2 linked regions of the Danio rerio genome follow. The protein of the gene in region 1 purifies or fractionates together with the protein of each later gene. This does not show direct contact. Links are inferred from orthologs where the notes say so. Each region holds a gene or a part of one and is shown on either strand. Other genes may lie near its edges.

Region 1 (7,876 bases):
TGACAGTGCTTTTACATAGTTCATTCATAGAAAGAACAGCCAGAAAGGGAAACTGATGGATTTGTGTCGAATATTAGCATCATTGACTCATAACAATAAGTTACCTATTACTGTCAGTATGTTTGTGTGCTCTTTATAAATGACTGAAAAACAGCAGCTGCGGGTAAAGTATATTGATCTGCTGCTCAGTTTGTGATCATATCTCGGTTTTGTTCTGCTAATTTGTCATTTCTAATATTCATAGCTTGAAACAGATGGAAATATGACGTTCAGTAAAGTTAGCAACAGATTCGCAGATTTGTATTTTCCGAATCAATAACTCTTGTCATTATGACTTATTCGCTATTATGACTAAGTTACTAACGTTATGGCGAAGGCTTAAACGGAGCATTACTCACAATAGAGCAAAAAAAAAAAAGGAATAAGAAAGCTGTGAAACATAACCAGCTTTGTGTTTTTGTAGGAAACACAGTTTAGTTCTGTTTAGGGTAAGAGGTTTGTGAGTTATTGCCGTCTGTCTGTCACTGAATGTGTCAGGAATATCAAAACAAAATCAACTTAGCTCTGCTCTTTTAGTGCCCCTCACACTGCTTGATCCACGCTAGTATTTCTCCTTTTGGATTTTAGGTTTTGAAAAGGGGAAAAATTCCACCGCCCAGTCCAAACTCTAAGGATACCGGGTATCAGATTTGCACAATCCATATGCACTCGCTCGAAAACTTGACAGAGCCCCTGCGCGTAGCTACAGTTGCTAAGCCACGATTGGTGGGTGGCAGTTATTGGGCAGGGCTTAGCGAAGGGTCAATTATGTTTGGTTTTGGCCATGCATAGGAAACGTTTGAGCACCCCTGATATTGACCCTATTCTTAAATGTGATAGTGCACTCGTTTTTGCGATTGTTTAAGAACTTCTGATTCAGTCGTCTATCGGAGAAATGACTAGGAATAATAAACGGCAAATAAACGGTCCTCTATAAGCAAGTATGTTCATGACAACACGGACGAAGCAGAATAGTAAAACAAAAAAAGATCAGTTTGCAACATCAAGCAGAAGAAAGAACGGTTTTTAATGTCACAAAAATGAATGGAAGTGAATGAGACCAGCAGTCTCCAGCCAAAAAGATTCAAACGGCTGTGCTCGCTCATACACGTAGAATAAGGTGAATAGATTGACGAGCAACAATCGTAAAGAACTATTAAACTGCATATGGTTCACTCTGCAGTAGCGGTTGCCTGTTGTTTTGCATGTTTAAGTATTAAGGGGCGGTGTATTTTTGCTTTGATGTCAGATTTCAAATATAACAGAGTTTCTCAGAAATCACTCACTGCACCTAACATTATAGTACAAGTAGAGCAGTACCTTGTACTTTTCATTGGCAAACAGAATTGAGGCCCTATGGAATTTGCATAGCGGATTCTTAGGGTCGATGCTAATGGCTCTGTTAAGGGTCTCCAGTGCATGGTCTGATTTCTTCAAAGCATGTTGAACCTGACAGAGTACATGAGAAACAATATGAAGATGCAGCACAGCAAAAATCCTATCAGAAATTTTAAACAGTGATTATCATGTTATGTTTTATGCATAACCAAAAAGTACATAAAGGCTGATTTACTCACCACTCCGATATGACAGAGTAGCACAGAGCTCTGAGGATTGATGCTAAAAGCTTTCTTGAAATGAATCTCGGCTAGATTAAACTTCTCCTGCTTATAATAAATCATTCCCAAGCCATACCTGTGGTAAGAGACAGAAAGATGAAGTCTTTTTGCTTCTGAAATAGCAGATGGTACTTATCTGTCAGACAACTGGATAAGTAAAATGATTGTGAGTGAACGACTTATTTAATGGTTTTTTTTTGGTGTCATGTAAAGTAACAAACATACCAGGCATTGTAGTGACGTTTATTGAGGCGTATAGCATTGCGGAAGCAACCCAGGGCTTTCTCCAGCTCCTCTGTGAGAACCAGTTCATGCCCTAATAGTGTATAAGCGTAAGCAAAGCTGGGGTCCACCTGGATGGCCCGTGTGAAGAACTTAATGGCGATGTCATGCTCCCGCTGTAAGCTGAAACAGTTACCAACTACACACCAGGGCTGTAAAGAGGTGGAAAAACAAAAAGATAAGCAGCTGATTTACTGAACTGAATAATATTCCAACTAATAATTGCATTACTGCCTTGATAAACTTACCTCAGGTGAGTTTTTGTCCATGTCAGTGAGGTCTTTAGATAGGGCAGAAAGTGCCACATCCTTTTGTAAATGCCAAAGTGTTGTTGAGTAGATGTCCATACCCTCTACTCGATAGCTCTCTATACGTCGGACTTCTGAAAAAATCCTCTCCGCCTAATTAAACAGACAAAAATATCTTCTGTGAGAACAAACAAAAACATTTTCCACTACTTGCCATTATAATTTGAATGCCTTTGGTAATTGATTTCACCTCATTTCTGCAACGCAGACTCACCTGCATGTATTCAGCCAGTTCAAAGTGTGCTCGCCCGATCTGACCCAGCACCCAGCCCGTGTTGTAATGGTGTGAAGGTAGCTGACTCAAGATGTTAATGGCCTCTCGGCAGTTATAAGAGCAGAGAGCAAGATATCCCCTCCCAATATCCCGCATCAGGGTCATCAGCCCGTCTAAAGAAAACCGCAAACAAAATCAGCAACCTGCTTCAGGGTGTTGCTCAAATACAAGAGAAAAGAGAAAAATTAAGTAGCCCAAAGAGAAAATTAAGTAGTAGCTCAAAATCTAACACAAAAAAGCATGAATTAATAATATAAATAATGTACTTTCAACTTTATACATAAGTCTCTACGACAATGAAATGCTTATAATGTTCAGGATAATGCAGCATGTTTAGTTTTGTACTGTAAAGTTGTTCTACAAATAAATGGGAATAATTCAAACTATAATCAAAGTAAGAAAGTATATAGTCTCAAATACTCTTCTTATCACCACAATTTTGTTTTAATTACCCTGTAACGTCATGGATCACTATGATAATATGCTTTAAAAAAAAAAAAAAAAAAAAAAAAAAAAACAGTGTTCTCACCATGTAATTTTATTTTGTTTAATTTGTTATAGAAATGAAAGCACCAAACGCAAGTAGGGATACAACGATTAACCATTTTCACTATTAACCACTTTAATTTGTCACGGTTAATTAAACATAAGTTTCTCAACATCGTGTTTCTGCAAAGAACAAAACTGGTGCAACTAAACGTTCCTGCAACTGTGCGCTTGTTTAAAGTTCAGAGCTTGTACACAATGGCTAATATGCACGTACAATGGATTAGCTATGGCTGAGGATATTAACTAAGGGCCGTTCACATGTCGCATCTTTTGTGTGCTAAAGTTCGATATTTCTTTTTTTTGCGAGCATATTGGGAGTGACGTGCACACAACGCGCTCAAGCTTTTCAGGCGCACATAGTTGAAACAGGGCTTGAAATTGGTCTCATATGGGCCCAAAATTTTATCGATGCGACTTCAAATATATATTTTGTAGCATTTGGGCGAGTGCATAAATTGTTGCCGTGCGACCAGTTTTCACTGCAAAATGTTAATCGCATGCACGTATTTAAGAAAATTCATGCAGAAGGCATCTTTGCACCAAACACAGCGCTCAAGAAAAGTTTAAAACAGTTGACATGTGAACTTGCTGCAGTAAACAAATCCCACAATGCTTGCCCCGTCTTTAAGCTCTTCTGATTGGCCTCCTGCTCTAAAACACAACACGAATGGATTGGTTAATATCAGCTGTCAATCACTCAATTCAGATGACCGGGAGCTACAGCCACGAAAGCATAAAGGTCTGGATAAGAGACAATAAAAATAACACTGAGAGATTTTGTTTTAGAAATCACCTGAACTTACAAATAATGGCACATCTGATTAGTGATCATGGAGTGAATGTTAATCCACTATTTATACTTTTTCTAAGAGTGGATACAAGACTTCCAGTGGGTTAAAGTCCGCTATGAAAATGATGAAAGCATTCACTGTAAAGCTGGTTGGACAGTTTTCAGGTAACCGTGTTTGCCACATCAACACATTTTAAGCACGAGATCTTCTAACGTTGTTTCATCCATTAAATCCTCACAATGCTGTCAGTCGTGCGACTGGTACCGCATTCACCATCGCAAAAGAGCATGCATTCACTGAGATTAAACTACTGCATCTCATCGAAAGACCGTTATTGCTATTAAGATGACGTATGCAAATTAGTTATATGTTAAAATCATGTGTGCAATGTCAGAAACCACCCATGAGAACAGCAAAGTTATTATTGTTAACTCTGTTCATCCCATTCACATCAAGCAGTGCGTGCAGAGCCAGTGGGCTCATGCATATTGTTTTTCGTTTGTTAGTTTTGATTATAGTTCATTTCAAATGCAATACATTTGTTAATACAAAACTTATTTAATATAATAGTAACGGTGCTCATAATTGTTGGTAGGTGCTCCTAAATTTTGCCTGGTGCGCCTAAATTTCTGAAGTTAGGAGCACCGCTGCTACCAATAAAAAAAGGTTAATTTCGAGCCCTGTGAAAGAATTGCGTGAGCGCACCACAAGTCACATGACAAGAACCATTTAGCTTCATATTTTGTATGGAATATAAATATTCTACTCCAGAAAAAAAATAATAATAAATTCGAAACATGTTCATAATATAGTTGATCAAAAGTGCCTTTCAGACAGGGGTTTAGCAGCCTCTGACTACATTTGTTCTTATTTACTTATTCATTGTTCTGTCATTTATTTTCAGTTTAAAATTTCACTTTCACTTCTTTTTAAGTCCAAAGAGAAATGTGTGTTTTGAAATTACTGAATGTATAATCGTGATTATTGCTTAGACTATAATCTTACAACTAAAATTTATAATCGTTGCATCCCTGAGTTTTATCACTGAGTTTAGTCTGTTTGCAAACAGTATATTTTTTTCAGTATATAATTTGTATTTTATGGTATATGATCAGTAGATTACACATTTTTAATTTTCTAAGGTTTAAGTAGTTTTCAATCAAAAGAACAGTCTCCATTGCGTGTAATTGTGAGCAGCATGAACAATACGTTGTTAGTTGCAATTCACTTAACCCCTTAAAAAAAAAAGGTGAAGAATCGTCAGATACCTGCAGCAGCCTTTTGTAGATTAAAAGCCTGGAACTGCGGTGAACTGATGTTGCCTTTGCCCTCTGATAAGGATGAATCTAACTTGAGGATCTCGATGCTCTCATTCAGATTAGATGGGGTGATTCCTCCCTTACCCGTTTTCGTTTTGGTCTTTCGGTTAGGAATCTTGGTGGGGAACTTCATTTTCAGCTTCTTACTGTTCTCCTGTTTGGTTTAAACATTGATAATGTATTCATAAGACTTTGAGTGAATGTCTTCCTATGAGATATCAACAAAGGTCCCAAGATCTGTTTGGTGACTGACATGCTTACAAATATCTTCCTTTGTGTTTAGCAGAACGAATAAATGTACACAGGATTGGAACAAACAATGATAATGATTTTGTGGTGAACTGTACCTTAAAAGGTTTTAAGAAGTGCATGTTAGAATTTGTATGCGTAAAAAGATTACCTTGGCAGTGGAGCTGGCACTGGTGAAGAGTCTTGAGCTCCGCCGTGGCTGCACATTTGGGGGAGCAGCAATGGTTTGGCTCAGCACTTGCGGTGTAGTACTAAAAACCAGAAAGAGAGATCATCAGAAGCCATCGCTACAGCCATAAACTGCCTGTATAAATGTGTGGTGATGTACCTGGTCTGTGGAGCAGTAGTCTGAGTTTGGATAAAGGGGTTTGGAATGACCTCTCTGCTGTTGCCACTTTGTGCAAACACTGACTTCGTCCCCACTGTTCTGATTCTACTGACAGCCTGAAATTAAAATTTAATTATTGAATTTATTTTCAAGACATTATTTACATGATCTCATAAATTGAATTCAGAATGTTGACAGCTGCATTACAAACAGAGAGAGAAACAAAGTGCCCTCTACAGACAACCCAAAACAGTTAAAAATAAGATATAAAATCATGCCATTACGTGTACTTCACAAGCCAATTTAGTAGGGATGGAAGCGAGACTTCAGAGTTTATTATCAGCTTTAAATGGCCACTGCAATTTGACTAAAGCAGTTTACAAACGGTTTATTAAATTACACTTTTCTATAACACATAGGCTTATAACAATAAAAAAAAAACACACATCAACAATGAATACTTTATAAGATCAAATCTAAAACTTTGTCCCAAGCCCAATTCTATTTTTTTACCTCTACCCTTCCCCTTAGGCCTTGAAATCAGGTGTGAATGCGAAGGGCTTTAAGATTTACCCCTAAGAAACGGGACAGCACTACAGCACCTGCACATGTCATCATACGTCATTGCGATCTCTTGCTTTATATGAGATCAGACGATTGTGACTGCTGTAGTTTTTCCAGTTGCGTTATTTTTTGGTATTTATCTTCTGGAAATCACTAAAGGCATATGTTATGTCATCATAACGATATAATGTGGTAATAGATCATAACTGTACTGTGCATTATAGCGGCCAGATTCATCTATGTAAACATACGCAGTACAAGAGTTATTATTAGAGATTATAGATAGCGAAATTTAGCAGTTTTTATTTTAGCTTTTTTTTTAAAGCATGACAATAAAGCATGAACTGCGTTATAAATGTATTAAAACATATGCTTGTTTGTTGTAAATTCAAAATAATGAAAAAAAAAAAAAACATACTAATTTGTGCATGTCCTGACTTCTGTGTGCAGTCATGACGCCATTTTATATGGTGTATTTTCTAACCCACTGGTTTAGAGTGTGGTCCTGAAAAATATCAGTTTGTAGGGATATGTAGCCCCTCCCCTTAGCCCTATGCCTTCAAGGTAAAGAGAATCGGGACACCTCCACCCCTACCCCTTCACGTGAACAGGCAAAACAAGGGGTAGGGGTAAGGTGAAGGCCTGAGTGGTAAAATTGTAATCAGGCCTTACTTTTGATAAAAAGCTACACACATTTTTTTTAAACAGGGTTACTGCAGGTTTCATCAAGAAAATTAAGACATTTTAAGACATTAAAACTATGAAGAATGAAATTACAGATATATAAAAGGCAAAACGCTAAGGATTTTTTAAATAGCCCAGCAGATTTTTAAGCCACAAATTTGAAATAATGTGTCAAAACAAGGAGACCTTAGTAGAATACGTACATTTTTTTTTTCAACATAACTTAAACTCTTTAAAAGCTAAAGGTATGCACAACAGACTGGTATAATATTAGTTATGAACAGCTTTGCCATGTACTGTTGGTGATTGAATACGTGTTGGATCAATTGGGTAGCTTAAACAAAATAAACAAAGGAAGATTAAGACCCGTTTAAAAAAAAATTCAGACCTACAAGACAATATTTTAGTAAATTGAAGACTTAAAGGATTTACATGTAAAATTACACTTCTTTAAAGTTTCTGCAGTTGAAAACCTTTGTAGAAATGGTAGGAGGGAAAACTAATTTTGTCTTTTAAATAAAGCTGTATGTGTGTTGCATTTCCTTACAAAGAACTAATTTATTGATTATATTATTTTTTGCTCAGACTCCCACATCTCAAGATGTAAAAATGTCATATCCCTAACAAATACAGAAAATATATTGATGTGCAAATTATTGATCAGGGACTTAAACAACAACAACAACAACTGATACTGCACGTTTAAGGCCTTACAGTTAGGCCCAAAGGAATCTGTGCATGCAGAAAAATGTGTAATGTAATGTGTAAATGTGACAATTTATATTTCAGTTTTTAAATAAATTTCAGTAATAATATTGACTAATATAAAAAAAAGTGTTCATTTGATTTACAATACAGTTTGTAAAGTAA
Region 2 (5,688 bases), on another chromosome or scaffold:
CACACACACACACACACACACATTATGGCCAATTAAGTTCATCCAATTCAGCTATAGCGCATGTCTTTGGACTGTGGGTGAAAACGGAGCTCCCAGAGGAAACCCACGTGAACATGGGGAGAACATGCAAACTCCACACAGAAATGCCAACTGGTCCAGCTAAGACTCGAAGCAACAGTGCTAACCACTGTGGCACCTGTCCTTTATATTTATGCATACTAAAATCAAACAGATTAATGGTGTACAGTTATTTTGGACCAAGTTCTTTCAAGTACAATTCTGTGTGCCTGGAAAGAATATCATCCTCAGATACCTAGAACAATTTTTCGTTGTCAAATCTTCATGTCTTGGCATGCATAAGTATTTATCTGTGTACCAGTTTCATCATGTTTTATTAACACCTTTTCTCTTACGTTCACAGGAACAAATGAATCGCATGTCCTATAATGAGAAATCGGATATATGGTCTTTAGGGTGTTTACTCTATGAACTATGTGCTTTATCGTAAGTATAAATGTATTCTTGTTCTCCTCAGTTTTTTTAATACTGTGTACATTGACTGAATTTAAAGGGATAGTTTAAGCCAAAAAATAAAAATTCTAGCAATATTTACTCACAATTCACTTGTTCCAAAACTGTTTGAGCTGTTTTTTTCTGTAGTACACAAAAGATATTTTGAAGAATGTTGGGGAAAAACTTCAACAGTATGTCAAAGGGTGCTTTCCCCCCCACGTTCTTAAGAATATCTTTTGTCTTCAACAGGTGAAAGAAATTTAAAAGTATATAAAAGTTTAGAACTGATTGAGTGTGAGTTAATGAGAAATTTTATTTATTTTTTTTAGGCCCCCATTTACAGCATACAACCAGACAGAGCTGGCTCGAAAAATCAGAGAAGGCAGATTTCGAAGAATCCCATACCGATACTCGGATGAGCTAAACACACTGCTTTCAAAAATGCTCAACTTAAAGGTAAATATTGGTGAGGGTAAAGTATGCAACAGTCTGAAAGTAACAACACCACTCATTGTCTTCATTGTGAATTCAATTGTATTGTATAACAGCTGAATTTGTGGAACAACTGTATCTGTAGTAAACAATATCCATGACCCTGTTTTTCACAGTGGAATATGGGATCTCCACCTTCATCTGCAAGCATATTAATTTTATTTTATCTGTGCATTTATGTTTCTACTCTAACATTGAACTGTCTTAAAAGTTAAGATTAAAAACACTATATCTACCTTCTACCAAAAAGTGCATTTCAACACCATTTCAAACATGTGATTCAATTATTTACAATATAAAAGTATGCTGTTTGTTCACAAAACATACAGTACATTCACCGGCCACTTTATTAGATACACCTTACTAGTACCGGGTTGGGCCCCTTTTTGCCTTCAGGACTGCCTTAATCCTTCGTGGCAAAGATTCAACAAGGTTCTCGAAATATTCCTCAGAAATTTTGGTCCATATTGACTTCATAGCATCACACAGTAAGTTGCTGCAGATTTTTTGGCTGCACATCCATAATGCAAATCTCTCATTCCACCACATCTCAAAGGTGCTTTATTGGATTGAGATCTGGTTACTGTGTGGACCATTTGAGTACAGTTCACTCGCGGTTTAGGACATGGCATGTTATCCTGCTGGAAGTAGCCATCAGAAAATGGGTACACTGTGGTCATAAAGACATGGACATGGTCAGCAACAACACTCGGGTAGACTATGGCATTGACACGATTGCTCAATTGGTACTAATGGGCCCAAAGTGTGCCAAAAAAATATCCCCTACACCATTACACCACTAGCCTGAACTGTTGATGCAAGGCAGGATGGATCCAGGCTCCAGGGGTTATATGAGTTACTGTTGTCTTTCTATCAGCTGGAACTAGTCTGGCCATTCTCCTCTGACATTCAACAAGACGTTTGTGCCCACAGACCTGCTGCTCACTGGATATTTTTTTATTTTTCAGTCCATTTTCTGTAAACCCTACAGAAGATAGTTGTTGCTGAAATTCCCAGTAGATCAGCAGTTTCTGAAATACTCAGACCACCCTGTCTGGCTCCAACATCTATGCCACATTCTTAAATCACCTTTCTTCCCCATTCTGATGCTCAGTTTGAACTGCAGCACATCGTTTTTAACTTGTCTACATGCATAAATGCAGAGTTGCGGCTATGTGATTGGCTGGTTAGAAATTTGCGTTAAGGAGCAGTTGGACAGGTGTACCTAATAAAGTGGCCAGTGAATGTAGATTTGTTTTCAAAGTCAGTGCATGTCATAAGTGAATTAATTAGCTTATTTAATGCAGTTTTTTTTTTAGCTTTATTAACACCTAAATTGAATGAGTTTGGCACCCTGTTACTAAACTTACCGACATGTCTTGTAACTAAAATACAACAACTCGCAGTATACAGTTAAACAGAGTAACTTAACAATGAGTAAAGTTTTCCTTTACAGTTGCCCATGTGGTAATTTGTAATGTTTTAACTAACTACTATTCTACCAGTCACAGTTTTGCATTAAGGGTATAAAATGGCATCTTGGCACGGTGACATTACATTATCATTTAGCATCAAATTAATCTGCTTTTAGTAACTTCCTTGGCCAACACTGGTTGAGTAACATTACAATCTCATGACTGACTGATTATTTTAGTGAGATGCCATTTGCTTCAGTAAGTTGTACTGTTCCCCTAACCTACTTGAATGATCATTTTGTGGTTTTGTCATTTGTGTTGTATCTGTAACTACTTTAAATAACGTTCACATTCTACTTTATCTCCTCACTGACCGCAGTTGGACAGCCCAGAGGCCTGAAAGCTCCACTCAGTTTTCAATATTAACTGTTTTTAAAAAAAAAATAGAATTATAAAGGTCATACAGATGATGAATTATAATTAATAAGTTTGATGGTTTTATGCTTCAAGTCTGCATAACGCGGCAGTTAAGATTGTTCTTTTTTCCTATATTTTGACATGCTTCCAAATGAAACTGTCATAAAATGAGAAATTAATGTCAGGGAGTGCTTGATATCATCCATTGGGAGGTGGTTGGAATATGGACATTAGTAAGGACAAATGGGTGAACCAAGAACCGCACTGATTGTTTCACCCTAAATGCATTCCATGTGATCAGAAGTGAAGTCATTTTAAGGGGAGAGGGTAGGTTATGATATTTTATTAAAGATTCTGAGAGAATTTTTAAGAAATAATCTAGTGCACATTTGCATTGTTATAGCAAACACAACTATAAACTTATATAAAAATAATATTACATTTTGATTCCATGCCAACTTTATAGCACATTTTAATTTAAGATTATCAAACAGATTGCTCTGAGGATGTCTGCCTGCATGTTTTAGCATATAATTACCATTTTCATACATTGGCTGAATGTTTGAAACATGTTTAACACATCGTTAGCATGTATTTTTACTTCAGATGTTGACTACTATATATTGCAGAATGTGTTTGGGCACATCCTGACTGGTGGTCTTTTTTTTTTTTTGTCAGGACTATCTGAGGCCCTCTGTGGAGTCCATCCTGCAGAATGGTTTGATCTCCGGTTACGTGGCCCTCGAGCAGAAGAGGCTCCAGGAGAAACAGCGGCGCAGATCAGATGAGGCAGAGCAGCCCAAACATCCAGAGTCACCACTTCTGGCAGAGCTGCGGCTTAAAGAGCAGATTCTCCGAGAGCGAGAGCAGGCCCTCAAAGAGCGAGAGCAGCGGCTAGAGCGTAAGCACACTGTTGTTGGCCTTCTGAAAGCTAAAGGGACAGTTCAAACCATTTTATTTGTGTTATGATTTACTCATCCTCCACTTGTTCCAATCCAACATTTGTTACTTTCCTTTGTTAGATCTTTTCAGGAATGTTTCAAAAAATGCCCATAGACTGTTTTCACACAGTCTCCATTTTAAAAGCAAAATCGAGGCTGCGGTGGGAAGAAACCCAAAAGTATTGCCTGGAGCTGCACAGAGATGTTGTGTAGCTGGCTGTAAATCTTATGAGCGAAGAGAAAGTGACACGAATTTATTATTTCACCCCCTTTCGAGTGACCTGAAGGTCTGTTCTGAATGGATACTAAAAATAAAGTTGATGAACTAATTCTTTCACTGTATCAGACCTATCACAATACTGAATTTTGACAGTGAAAAAATTTTAAGGATTTAAATTTCCAGCTAATAGAAGTGCTAGAATGTTCTTAAACGCAGCTGATTTGCCATTAGTGTTCACTAGTGCTCAACATAAATGACTGTGATTGGCCGTAAAGGTCATCAGTTCACTGCTGTTCACTGATGTTTACCGAGTGCAAACACAAACTGGCAATCGACTAATCTTTACGGCTTTAAGACACTCCAGTGTTTCTATATTTTTGTTTGTGAGATACTTTTACCATCTCACTCGTGGCAAGTTTAGGCGAAGGAATGTTTACCAAGTAAAACTCAGACAGTTTAGTTTATTCTGCTTTAAACCTGCAGGAAAATATCAGGGTTTGCTAAAAGACAGTTTATTTTACCATCAATCAGGGTCAATAATGGTAGCCTAGTACAGATTTCAAAGAAAAAGCCTAATATTAAAAAAGGAAACATAAGCTGGACCACAACAGATCAGCATCAAGTTTTAGATTGTGCCATCTACTATATACAGTAGACTTACAGGTCTGTTATTTTTACTAAGGAAGATACATTATTTGAGCCCCAGAACTATAGAAACTGTATTAGGTTTTAAAAAAATACATAAAAAATACGGCACAGTATCGGGATTGGGTCTGTATCGATCGATACTCAGTTTTAGTATCAGGATCGGATCGTTTCCAAAAAATGGTATCGGTGCATTCCTAGTAGACTGTTAGGTTGGGGTTAGGGTAAGTTGACATGTACTAGCAAAGTTTCTTATATAGTCAGTAAAATCTATGTTGAAGGAGCAGTATCAACAGATATTAATCAGACCGGACCATCAAAATAAATTAAACCATCAAAATAAAGTGTTACCAGTGGACTTTCAATGAAGGAACGGAAATTGGCAGAATCCATAAGTAACTTAATTTCTTTTCAGAAGACAAATAAAAGCCCTGTGGTTTTGGAAAAATTAAAGATTTTCATTTTGAAATGGATCATTATCATTTACTTGCTGTTATCAAATGCTACATCTAAAAATATTAATTGTCCTAATTTACCCACTAATTAACTTTTTTTCATTTCACTCATTAATCAAACCCACAAGAATTTTGATCCTCCTCACACAACTGAAGACTTTTGTTAGATTTGTCTAGATTTGTTGTCTGTCAGGTGAGCAGATTTGAGTTTGACCATATTTGATGTGCTACAGTAAATCCATCGATGTTTAAATGGAATTAATATCCCCAAATAAATCTATTCAAGTGTGTCTTCAGGAGACTTTAAAGGTCCTGTGAAACAAAAAAAGTTTTTTAGTTGTTAGTTAGTTTTAAGGACATCAATTAGCTATTGTTCTCCAAACAGTGACATAGTTTTCCTTTAAAAATGTTAATTTGATATAAACATACAAAGCTTGAAGTGTCACCGCAGCCTAAATGCATCAACGTTTTTATCATGTCACCTCATACTTCAGTTACTCATCAGATCTTCACCAATCAAATGCTCTCTAGTATCTGTCATGCCGGCCTGCCCCCTTCAAGACGCTTCTCGTTTGCTTTTCATTTGATGC

What was found. Proteins that work in one complex are often made in the same cells at the same time.
Region 2: the proteins of cdc27 (region 1) and nek2 purify together in Homo sapiens (affinity purification with mass spectrometry; 6 studies listed by BioGRID and IntAct, with this or other methods). This does not show direct contact. The link is inferred for Danio rerio from reciprocal best matches to the Homo sapiens genes CDC27 and NEK2.

Annotation. Positions count from the first base shown.
Region 1 is NC_133178.1:20,780,560-20,788,435, reverse strand, and holds part of cdc27 (cell division cycle protein 27 homolog), read right to left. Parts: intron 5,875-7,876; coding exon 5,759-5,874; intron 5,682-5,758; coding exon 5,582-5,681; intron 5,336-5,581; coding exon 5,131-5,335; intron 2,636-5,130; coding exon 2,463-2,635; intron 2,342-2,462; coding exon 2,189-2,341; intron 2,093-2,188; coding exon 1,884-2,092; intron 1,735-1,883; coding exon 1,617-1,734; intron 1,489-1,616; coding exon 1,360-1,488; intron 1-1,359. UniProt on the Homo sapiens protein: Component of the anaphase promoting complex/cyclosome (APC/C), a cell cycle-regulated E3 ubiquitin ligase that controls progression through mitosis and the G1 phase of the cell cycle.
Region 2 is NC_133195.1:15,124,064-15,129,751, forward strand, and holds part of nek2 (serine/threonine-protein kinase Nek2), read left to right. Parts: intron 1-421; coding exon 422-504; intron 505-842; coding exon 843-969; intron 970-3,515; coding exon 3,516-3,738; intron 3,739-5,688. UniProt on the Homo sapiens protein: Protein kinase which is involved in the control of centrosome separation and bipolar spindle formation in mitotic cells and chromatin condensation in meiotic cells.